Linked DNA regions of Mus musculus. Each later gene encodes a partner of the first gene's protein in a complex. Links are inferred from orthologs where the notes say so. Each region holds a gene or a part of one and is shown in the gene's direction. Other genes may lie near its edges.

What was found. Proteins that work in one complex are often made in the same cells at the same time.
Region 2: the proteins of Gnai1 (region 1) and Hrh3 are in contact, whole or in part, in a cryo-EM structure (PDB 8YUU), measured with the Homo sapiens proteins. The link is inferred for Mus musculus from reciprocal best matches to the Homo sapiens genes GNAI1 and HRH3. Residues at the interface, in NP_002060.4 of Homo sapiens: Ala31, Arg32, Glu33, Val34, Leu194, Thr219, Lys314, Asp315, Glu318, Ile319, Tyr320, Thr321, Thr340, Asp341, Ile343, Ile344, Asn347, Leu348, Lys349, Asp350, Cys351, Gly352, Leu353, Phe354; in NP_009163.2 of Homo sapiens: Asn69, Asp131, Arg132, Ser135, Val136, Ala139, Val140, Ser141, Tyr142, Arg143, Ala144, Gln146, Ile221, Ile225, Arg228, Arg232, Phe344, Thr345, Phe348, Arg349, Arg352, Asp353, Lys355, Val356, Ser359, Leu360, His416, His417.

What each region holds. Positions count from the first base shown.
Region 1 is NC_000071.6:18,269,090-18,274,669, reverse strand, and holds part of Gnai1 (guanine nucleotide-binding protein G(i) subunit alpha-1), read left to right. Parts: intron 1-1,094; coding exon 1,095-1,224; intron 1,225-2,690; coding exon 2,691-2,844; intron 2,845-5,580. UniProt on the Homo sapiens protein: Guanine nucleotide-binding proteins (G proteins) function as transducers downstream of G protein-coupled receptors (GPCRs) in numerous signaling cascades.
Region 2 is NC_000068.7:180,100,432-180,106,594, reverse strand, and holds the start of Hrh3 (histamine H3 receptor), read left to right. Parts: upstream 1-2,187; 5' UTR 2,188-2,443; coding exon 2,444-2,693; exon of another isoform or gene 2,694-2,881; intron 2,882-3,699; coding exon 3,700-3,866; intron 3,867-5,178; coding exon 5,179-6,099; 3' UTR 6,100-6,163. UniProt on the Homo sapiens protein: The H3 subclass of histamine receptors could mediate the histamine signals in CNS and peripheral nervous system. Signals through the inhibition of adenylate cyclase and displays high constitutive activity (spontaneous activity in the absence of agonist).

The sequences.
Region 1 (5,580 bases):
ACAAACTCAGATTTGGTTTGTAGGCCACTACTGCTCTGTGGGGAATTAAATAGGAATGGTTTTAATTAGTGTACCATCAAGATAAATGGGGCCTTTAAAACTGTGCCAGTTTACAGAGCGCTTCCATTATATAAGTGGTTATTTCTAGGCTGTATAATGTAGTCTATGCAAATTTAAACTTTTGCTTAACTTTATAAACTCTTGCCAGGAACAAGAAGAAAAGGTCATTGGCATTATGTTGTTTGATTGTGTCCCAGAACCTTGCACATTAGCCTCCAATTCCCCATAATTGTGCCTTATATAAAAATTGAGGAATTTTATTCTAAATTTCAAGCCCCTACCCCTTTCCATTTTATTCTGTAATCCACACAAACCTTTTGGCCCCTTTCTGAATTACTTTATTTCAGAACCGTTTTCTTACCTGTAATTGCTTTTTCTTTCCTCCAACATCTTGCTCTCTGTTTTAAGAGAACTCATTTCTTGGTTGAAATAGGGGAACCCTGTTGTGTAGCACTAATGCCTGGGACTGGCAAGTTCAGTATGCTTCTTTGATCTCTGGCTTCCTTCATTGCTTTGTAGGACTGTCAGTGGTGACAACAGTGTGATGCATTCATCTTCAGCTGCTGTGATGTCCCCAAGTGCTTTCATATGTTTGTTAATGGATGTCTATGCTTTTAAAAAATTAAATTTTCATTTGTTATTATTTGTTTATGTGTGTGTATGCACACAGGATATCACACATACACACATGCCACAGAGTGGGTGTGGAGAGGATCCAGGCGCTGAACTCAGGCTGCTAGGCGTTCTCTGGGCCATCTCAAGGACCCAGATGTGCTGTGTGTGGAGAGTACTTTTGATTTTGCTTTATAGTTACTCTAGCTGTAATCAAATGCTTAATAAGAATGATTTATTAACATTTTTCCCTTTGAGAAAATTAACTGGTAACATTTTTTTTCCTCCCACTATGTCCCTTTTCTCCTTTCTTCCCATCCCACAGCCTCCAAGCTATGTGAAACTTTTTTTTTTTGGCATTACAGAACTCGGAGCTTTTGAACATTTAATGTGGTGTCAAATCGTACATTTTCCTCTTACAGAATGTTTGACGTGGGAGGTCAGAGGTCAGAGCGGAAGAAGTGGATCCACTGCTTTGAAGGGGTGACCGCCATCATCTTCTGTGTGGCCCTGAGTGACTATGACCTGGTTCTTGCTGAAGATGAAGAAATGGCAAGTAGAAGCAGCTGTAGGGGTACAGCCTGAAATGTCCAGAGCTGCACACGTTGCCAAGACCTTAGCTGAGGAGCCTTGAGAAGTCCTTGCTCATGAACGAAGTATTTGCAAGTTCAATTTCTTTGCTTCAGCGCCTCTGCTGCAGCCCAGAGGGCACCGATGCTTAGAAGGCACAGGTGTTTCTCCATCCATCTACCTGGGAATTGCCTGCATCTGCCCAAAGGCTCATATTTCCCCATGAGTTACTCTGTCGGTCTATAATCTTCCTTATATGTTATACTTCTCTAGTTATAGAAAAACAATTTTCAAGTAACATCCAATAAATATACCATTACTCTAGGAAGTATTTTCTAATACATTGAAAACTCTGGCACTTATAAACATATGAAAATGATGGGCAGGTTTCAGGTTTTTCTAAATCAAGTTCATACCGTCATCAGTCATGGGGGGAAATGGGGCATAACATACATTTTTTGCATTTCCCCACTGTAAAACGTGTCAGTGTCCTCTTTGAACACAGCACGAAAGGATAGAAAACAAGAACTGGAAGTCATCTTCTCTAACATCCACTGTGCTGGGCTAATTGGATTTCAGCTCTCTCCATTTGACACAGTGCTCTTAAAGCTTCCACCTACCTCCTAAGCAAAGCTTAGATGGCCTGTGCAGCAGTGACATTTCCTCCATGTGTTCCCATGTGGACATCCCTTGACTGTGACATCCTATAGCTCTCAGGCATGAGCCAGTGATGTTTGAAAGACATTGAACAAGGTGCCCGCTAACATCTATGTTGTGCTTGTCCAGAAATGACAAAGAATGTAGTTAGTATTCTGGAATTATTATCAGCTCTAGAGCACAGATCTGACTAGATAGAAGCCACAACCACTGTACCTGGCCAACTGTCACCTGATAAGTCTAATTAGAAGATGCTGGCCAGGAAGAAGAGGGAAAAAAAATCATTCATTACAGCCTTCCTGGGAGAACAGGGTATCTGCACCCTAGGCTGTTGTTAGAAGCTGAGACGAGCAAAAGAAAAAGCCGGAAGCACTGGGTGTGCATGGTCCTAGTGTCTGGGTCGAACTGTGATCTGGTCACATTGTCACAGCCCTGGTTGTGCAGGGTCTCCAGCTGTTGTCTAGTATATTGTTGTTGCTTGAGGAGAGGGAAGGCATTCGGGTTTTTTCATCAGGAGTTAATTGCTTTCACCCCGGGGCCAGCTTCCCTTCCATCACAGGGAGTAAACCTTTAAGGCTCTTTCTTCTTCACTTTGAAATAAGCCAAAGTGACTCAGACAGAACAGGTTAGAGACAAAATTGGAGTTGAGACACCAACTGGGACATCCTTCAGGGTGTTACGTGCTTTTCAGCTGAAAGGATCTGGCAGTTGCCACATTTGTTCTTTTTAAAACAGATCCTCAGAAACTGCACTGTTCATGAAAATGATTTCTTTTTTTTTTTTAATTACAGAACCGTATGCACGAGAGCATGAAGCTGTTCGATAGCATCTGTAACAACAAGTGGTTTACAGACACGTCCATCATCCTTTTCCTCAACAAGAAGGACCTCTTCGAAGAAAAAATAAAAAAGAGCCCCCTCACGATATGCTACCCAGAATATGCAGGTATTTCACTCTCTTAGAGTAACCTAGCAAATCCTGTGCTTCTGAGTGAAATTCCCCCTATGGCAAGATTTGCAGGTGTTGGTTTGAATTTATTGATATGCTAATTCTTTCACTGGAGGGTGTCATACTTTTCAAACTGCATTTGAGCACAAATAGTCCCTTAAGGTGTGGAGAAGTTTTTCTGAACATCCCTGGTTTGCTTTGTGAAAAGGCTTGGAGGTAATTTCCAGAGATGTCTCCATGTCTCTGTAAATGTAAAGACTGACTTGTTAAAAAAAAATAACCAGATCACAGATTGGATAAACAAGATAAGATCTGTCTCTGCTCACTATCTTCTCTCAAACACATTCATGATAAACAATAGCAGTCACCCTGCTTCTAAGAGGGACCATGAATATTACTGTAAGAAGACAAGTGAAGAGGAGCCAGAGAGGCAGCCACTTCCTCCACGGTGCCAGGGAAACTTTGATAGGAAATCCAGGCCTTAATAGTGAGACTCTCATAGACAATGTACCTCTGTGAGTAAAGGCCTAGCTTTTACAAAATTTGGTCTGTGATCTCAAACAAAGCAGATACTTTATCTATGTTCCAGTGCCTCATCTATAAAATTAGGAACTGGGTTAAAACCTTGGTTTTAATTTGGTTTACTTCCTTGGAGCACATCCCAAGCTGATATTGAAAGCAAGTCTGGTGTTCACACTTATGAGCCCCAGTCTTGGGGGATGAAGAGGAACATCAGTACTTCAAGGCCATCCTGGTCTACATAGAACGTCCAAAGACAGATCAGGGTATATGAGAACCTGTTTCCAAAACAAAAAGTGAATACCAGGACCAGAGCTATCTATCCCCACACACCCTTCCAGTCCTCATATATAAGCAAAGTAAATTGGTTTTCATATATATATTTATATCCATCCTGTTTCTTTAAAATATAAGACTTTCACTGGTTTGTATGAACTCTAAATCTAAAATGTAAATGTTCTTAACCTTTTCCTCATTCTGTTTGAAAAAGCAAAAAATAATTCTCCAGAACTTCTCAAACTCTAAATAAAATTTGAGTCAATGCTGCACTGAACTGGTTGTTGGTGGGCATTGCGTGAATGCTGCTTCCAAGTTGACGCTGAGCAGCCTGTTGGCATTGGTTCTTGGATAGCCCTGCTCAGATATAGTCCATCTTGAGACCCCAGTGCACCACACATCTGCACCTAGGCCTGCACCAAGCAGTTAATTAGGGTCTCAGTGGAAGCAGAAAGGACTTGTTCCTTGGTAAACACAAGACTATTACATAATCATTTGATAGCCCAAGTGCTAAGATTATAATTTCAGATCTGCACTACTTGCTCTAAGAATTGGTTCCGTTGCTTCCTGCATCACCATGAGCACTTGGTTCTTACGACTATGAGCCTTTATGTTTTATGGATAAACCCTGTGTAGCCCCCACCTGCTTGGGTGTATCCTGCCTCTGTCTGCTGACTTGCAAAGCACCTCCTCCTTCTTCATTGTAAGTTGCCATTTCACCGGGATCCATTTCCAGTCCTTTCATGGTCATGCTGGCTGTTGAATTGTGTTGTCAGACCCTGAACATCCCTCTGCAGCCCCTTGCCTCTGTTTCCAACTGTTTCTTGAATGTGGTTTTTAGCACTGAAGCATAAGCCAAGCTAATCTCTCCTTCTCCTTTGACTGTCTCATAAAGTTTCCAGTTTTGAAGTTGCCCTCACTCAATCATATATTCTTTCAGGAAAGTTCCCATGGTAGACAGTACCTATGCTCCCACCATGAATGTGTACACACTGAAACACATATATGCCCCCCCCCACACACACACACACACTTTGTTCTTGTTCAGACTGAAAGTCAGATCAAAGAATGTGTTCACCAGTTTATTCATGGATCTGGAAGCCCCTGGGGCACAGTCATTTAGCTACTCAGAATGTGTATTGCCTATGAGTACTGTACCCAGTACAAATTACTTCACACAAACGCCTTTGTAATTAATTTAGGAGTTATATTCTAATTGCTTCTTTAACCGAACAAGACATTGCATACAAATTTTAGAGCACTGAATGATTGGATTTTTAAAGGCTTATTATTACATAAAACAATTAAAGTAGAAACTCAGTGACGGTGGTTGTATCATTCATGCTGTCTAGCACACTAAACACAACTTCTCTCTGGGCCTTGTCATGTGGCATTTCCCATGCGTTGCATGGTATTTTTATGTATGGTGTGATAACAATGGGTAGGGTTGGCAGGATAGAGTCATTAGAGTCTATCTCAGGATGTGTAATGGTGAAGAAGAATTGAGATCCAGCAAAACATGTAAGAAAACATACAACAAAGCTGAGATACTGTTTGTATTATCTGTCAGAGTTTCTTGTTTTGCGTTGTTTTGTTTTTTAAAGTGGTACAGAACCCATCTGGGTTTGGTTAGTTAGCTGCATATGTATCAAAAGATGGCCTAGTCGGCCATCACTGCAAAGAGAGGCCCATTGGACTTGCAAACTTTATATGCCCCAGTACAGGGGAACACCAGGGCCAAAAAGGGGGAGTGGGTGGGTAGGGGATTGGGGGTGGGTGGGTATGGGGGACCTTTGGGATAGCATTGAAAATGTAAACGAGGAAAATACCTAATTAAAAAAAAAAAAGATGTGGAAAGAGTGAACATCTTGGATGGTGGTGGACTGCAGAGAAGCAGTGCTGTAGAACACAGCAGCACTTTGTATCCTGAGTTGTCAT
Region 2 (6,163 bases), on another chromosome or scaffold:
AACCACATGGTGGCTCACAACCATCCACAGTGAGATCTAACGCCCTCTTCTGGCATGTCTGAAGACAGCTACAGTGTACTTATTTATAATAATAAATAAGTCTTTGGGTCAGAGAGAGCAGGGTTGACCAGAGTGAGCAGAGGTCCTAAATTCAATTCCCAACAACCAGATGAAGCTCACAACTACACAACTATCTGTACAGCTACAGTGTATACACATATACATAAAATAAACAAATAAATCTTTAAAAAAAACAAAAAACAAAAAACCAAGACTGGGACCGGAACTGGCCAAGACTTTATAGGGATTTTACAAATTTTTATTGACTCTCATCCTCAATCCTGTGTCAAGATGGGGACATTCAGCCATTAATGAGATCTAAAGATCCCTTTAAATTCCCTCCCAACCCCATTTCCTGAGGGCTCTGAGATTTCTGAGCAACATGTCCGGTTCTACTCACTTTCACGGGAAGAAAGAGAGCAGCTGAAAGAAGCATTTTGGAGGTGCTGCACAGTACTGGGAGAGTGAGCCCTGCCAAGCCCTTCAGGCCACACACAGGCTTGAAGGGCAGGCTTGATTGTACCCACCAGTTCAGCTGGATCTTGCTGTCCAGTTCCAGGACATGTTACTTTGACCTCTAGTTAAGTGCCTGAACCCAGTGCAGCCTCTGGACACAGTCAGTGTGCTGTGGAGGGGAGCCGAAGGGTTTGCTTGTAAGAGCAGATCAGAGAAGGCTTTCTGGAGACGATACATTGGAATTTACCCCTCCCCCATAGAAGCTTCCAGGGTGCCTTTGGGGGGCTGAGACTATGGGCTTGGGGTAGAGGCTCCTCTTTGCCAGCATCCCCAAGGCTGGAACAGAGAAATGCCAGTCCCCACTGCCCAAAGTTCTCAGAGAACCACTTGGGGTGGGGGAGGGGCAGGTCCTCACATGACCAGCCTCTGGCTGTCAGTGTGGGGTGCTTGAAGCGGTGCCTGGGGTCCCCCTCCCCCACACTCATACCGTCTACATTTCTGTCCACTTTGAGGCATCCACTGATGTGTGCTGTTGGTGACAGAGGACAGTCACTGCTTCCCCTCTCCCTCGGGCACTGTTCTCTGTCTGTCTGCTGTCTGACTATTCGTGGGTCCCAGCCTGATGCTGGGTGGCTGTTTCCCTGAATGTGAATGTCTGTGTGTCAGAGCGTGGGTGTGTCTGTCTGTCTTCAGGGAGCCTCTGCTGCTGACTCTGTCCTTGACCTCCAGTATCTGTGTCAGAGAAGGGGGGCCGGCGGCTTTCCTCCTCCCCCTCCCACAGGCACTAACGCAGCTGCCACCACCCCGGCTGCACCCAGAACTCAGTGACCTCACCTGTCCCCTGCAGCAGTGACCACCCCACTAAGGTATCTCAGGGGGCATTCGTGGCCCGAACCAAGCTGCTTTGTGGGTCGCCCCTCCACCCACTGCCGCTGAGTTCTGGGTGAATGTTCTCAGCTCTGGGCTGGGTCCGCTCAGGCTCGTTCTTCCCTTATGTAACTCCACATCTGTGTGTGCCTTGCAGGTCACCCTGGACCCTGTTCTGAGCTCTGTCTAACCACGTGGAGATTGAGACCCCACAGTTCTGTGCATATGAGGCTGGAGAGAACCCCTGTTCCCGGCATCACTTTCAGGGACCCCTCCCCAATCTTTCTTTGGACATCTCTTACCCCAGAAACCTACTTGCCCAAAGCAAGATGCGAAAGGGAGTCCTGAGGCGCAAGTTCCCTAGAGCTGCGGGGCAGCCATTCTCCACCCCACCCGGGCAGTGTCCTAGGTCCTGACAAGCTTAGGAGCTACGGACAAGGGTCGGGCAGGGGTCACCAGGGGCGAGGGCACGAGGGCGAACGGATAGCCAAGGGACCAGCTTCTAGGTGCGACCTCAGACATGGTCCCAGCCCTGTAGCTGGTTATTGCCCGAGTCGGGCTCTCCGCCAGCCACGGTGCGCACCGGGGCAGGGGTTCTAGTCGGCCGGCGGGCACGCGGCGCTGTCCGTGGTGCTGCCCGCGCCGGGCGGGGCGGAGGCGGGACGGAGGCGGGGCGAGGGCGCCAGCCAATGGCGGGGGCTCTGCGCGGGGCGCGGGGGGCGGCGGGCCGATCGCGGGGCGCACTTGGCTGCGCGCTGAGCTAGGGGTGCACCGACGCGCCGCGGGCGGCTGGAGCTCGGCTTTGCTCTCGCTGCAGCAGCCGCGCAGCCCGCCCCACTCTGCTCAGATTCCGATACCAGCCCCCTCTGCATCACCCTCCCGGACTCCAGACTCGGCTCTCGCTCCGGTCCCGCGGACCATGCTCCGGGCGCCCCCCGGAAAACCGGGCTGGGTGAAGAGCCGGCAAAGATTAGGCTCAAGAGCAGGGGCCCCGCCCGGCCACCCAGCACTCGGCCCCTGCCCTGCCCAGTGTCCCCGAGCCCTGTGAGCCTGCTGGGCCATGGAGCGCGCGCCGCCCGACGGGCTGATGAACGCGTCGGGCGCTCTGGCCGGAGAGGCGGCGGCTGCAGGCGGGGCGCGCGGCTTCTCGGCTGCCTGGACCGCTGTCCTGGCTGCGCTCATGGCGCTGCTCATCGTGGCCACAGTGCTGGGCAACGCGCTGGTCATGCTCGCCTTCGTGGCGGATTCGAGCCTCCGCACCCAGAACAACTTCTTTCTGCTCAACCTCGCCATCTCCGACTTCCTCGTGGGTAAAGCCCCCAGACCCTGTCCGCTGCCAGAGTCCAGGGGCGCGGAGCCCGGGCTGGGCAATGGGGCTTGGCGCTTCGACCTGGGGTGGCTTCTCAGGGGTTCGGCCTTGGGAGAGGAGCTCTAGAAACCTTAGGATGGTGGGCGCGGGAGAAGTTCCTCGCCTCCCGGGCCGCAAGACGGGGGCTAGGTAGGGATGTCCCCGGGGAGGCTGCCCCAGCCGGCGGGCGCTCAGCAAGGCGCAAGGCGCAGCGACCGCCGGTGCAGCGTTGGCTCCTGCGCCGAACCAAACAAAGGCAGCGGCGCCGGACTCAGGATGCTGGGAGGACGCTGGGGGGGAGGGGACATGGAAGGGGGATTTGGGGAGGTGTGCTGGGGAAGGGGACCGTAGGGAAGGCGGGGGGTGAGATGAGGGAAATGCTCCGAGGAGCTCGTTCTCACGTGTCCAAGCTCTGCTCCCAACTGGGGGAGGGGGGGCGGGGCTCGCGGTGGGGGCCGGAGCGCCAGACACCTGTTGGGGCTGCGAGCTGCTGCGTCTCCCAGACGCTGGAAGCCGGTTTGGGCGGTGAGAGCGGCTGGCGCGGCTGCAGCCAAGAACCCTTTAAGCCAAGAGAAAAGCTTTCTCGGTTTTTAAGCTGAGAAGGGAGGCTGTCCAACAGCCAGGGTAGAGATGGATGATCGGCTCCAGAGCCAATCAAGCCAGGGAGGACATATATCCCATTTTCCTCTTTTGGCGGTTGGTGGGGCTGGCAGAAGCCCAGGTTTTGTGTTCAGAGGTCCCTATGTGGAGGTCCTTCCTCCTGCCACCAGGTCCAGAAGACATTGATGGGCTGGAGGATGGCAGCTGCTCAGTTGTAGGGGGACAGGGTGACTAGGAGGATAAATAAGATATAGTACTAGCCCTAGAAAGGTGGCTACCCTATGAAGGCCAGGCTCTGCCCTTTCTCTATGTGGTCAGTCTGACCCCAGCTCTTGAGCCATGGTCCCACCACAGCTGCTTTCCTATAGGTGCCTTCTGCATCCCATTGTATGTACCCTATGTGCTGACCGGCCGTTGGACCTTTGGCCGGGGCCTCTGCAAGCTGTGGCTGGTGGTAGACTACCTACTGTGTGCCTCCTCAGTCTTCAACATCGTGCTGATCAGCTATGACCGATTCCTGTCAGTCACTCGAGCTGTGAGTTCTGGGATGTGGGCATTAGAGTTTACCCTGTGTGTCGGAGAGCACTGGACAGGGTATGGCTGCTCCTGAGTTATAGGCAGATGGTCTTGCTCCCTTTTGACCGGTGGGCCATTTTTCTGTGACCGTTGGCTGCCAGTAGTAGTACTAGCATGAGGCAGGAGGTTGGCTTGGAATTCCATACTATTGCAGAAAGGGGTGTCAGGGTCCATCCTCTATCCTGGACAGGTACAGGATTCCTGGAACTGAAGGAGGGTCTTCATCCTTCCCACTTTTGTGTGCATGAAGGCGTGCTCACATAACACCAGGAAGCCGCAGTCCCTAACTGCACACGCTCCCCTAAATGGCTGTTGTAAGATAGCTCTGGGACCCAGGCAGAGGGAGAGGAGGACACTGGTGTGGAGTGGGGGTCCATCTCCCACTTCCCCAACTCCTCTTCTCAGTGGCTCACTCCCTTCAGGTTTTGTCAGGATGCATCCTGAGGATGCTTGCAAAGAGCACCAGCATGGAGCCCTCTTGAGCTTCCCTAGGTCCCCTGTACCATCCCCTGAACCACAGGGCTATTGTGACTAAGGTGCCCAGTACAGTGCTGGCATGTGGCATGTGTACCCTAGACCTGTGGTTAGCTTGTGTGGTTCCCAAGGTGGCTGTCAAGGACACTTGTCTCAGCTGTCCCTCTGAGGCCCCTTAGCAGGATTTTTGGCCCCTCCTGCCACCCTTCCCCTTGCTTACTCAGCGCACTTGGAGCTTACTTTGTTTCTTGGAAAAAGACTAGATGGTCCCACCTTCCTACCTTTTCTAGCCATTCACCTTCTAGAAAAGAAGACAGACTATTTAATTTTTGTGGGGTGGGGTGGGGTGGGAGGAGTCTCTAGCAGTGGGCCAGCAGGTTTCCCTTCTGTATTCCCAGCTCCAGTAGTGAGAGGAAGGAAATACTGGTGCAGAGTTGGGACAAAGCCCTTCCCTTTCAGCACAGCAAACCGTTGAAGACAGCTCTCTGGCCCTTGCAAGAAGCCTCACATCAGAAACAGTTGTGTGTGGCCTCTGGGTGTGGCCAGTGCTAATGACACAAGCAAAGTCAGGGGGACCCCATGGAGCTGGTGGAGGATGATGAAGAGACAGGATTCTGGTTGGTTGTGGTAGGCTCTGAGGCTCTGGGAGAATGTGTGGGCATCAGGCAGGCAGGGGACACAAGCAGGGGAGAGAAGGAACATGGCACCTTACCCAGAGCAGACACGGAAGCTGAGGCTTCTCTGATCCTCCAGTCCAATGCTGCTGACCTGTTGTTGATCTGTACAAACCACTGCAGGTCTCCTACCGGGCCCAGCAGGGGGACACAAGACGGGCTGTTCGGAAGATGGCACTGGTGTGGGTGCTGGCCTTCCTGCTGTATGGGCCTGCCATCCTGAGTTGGGAGTACCTGTCCGGTGGCAGCTCCATCCCCGAGGGCCACTGCTATGCTGAGTTCTTCTACAACTGGTACTTTCTCATCACGGCCTCCACCCTCGAGTTCTTCACACCCTTCCTCAGCGTTACCTTCTTCAACCTCAGCATCTACCTGAACATCCAGAGGCGCACTCGTCTTCGGCTGGATGGGGGCCGAGAGGCTGGTCCAGAACCCCCACCTGATGCCCAACCCTCGCCACCTCCAGCTCCCCCCAGCTGCTGGGGCTGCTGGCCAAAGGGGCACGGGGAGGCCATGCCATTGCACAGGTATGGGGTGGGTGAGGCAGGCCCTGGTGTTGAGACTGGGGAGGCTGGCCTCGGGGGTGGCAGCGGTGGAGGCGCTGCTGCCTCGCCTACCTCCAGCTCCGGCAGCTCCTCAAGGGGCACTGAGAGGCCACGCTCACTCAAAAGGGGCTCCAAGCCATCAGCGTCTTCAGCGTCCTTGGAGAAGCGCATGAAGATGGTATCCCAAAGCATCACCCAGCGCTTTCGGCTGTCGCGGGACAAGAAGGTAGCCAAGTCGCTGGCTATCATCGTGAGCATCTTTGGGCTCTGCTGGGCCCCGTACACACTCCTCATGATCATCCGGGCTGCTTGCCATGGCCACTGCGTCCCCGACTACTGGTACGAGACGTCCTTCTGGCTTCTGTGGGCCAACTCGGCCGTCAACCCCGTCCTCTACCCACTGTGCCACTACAGCTTCCGTAGAGCCTTCACCAAGCTCCTCTGCCCCCAGAAGCTCAAGGTCCAGCCCCATGGCTCCCTGGAGCAGTGCTGGAAGTGAGCAGCTGCCCCACCCTTCTACGGCCAGGCCCTTGTACCTGTTCTGAGGGGGAGCCCGAGCGTGG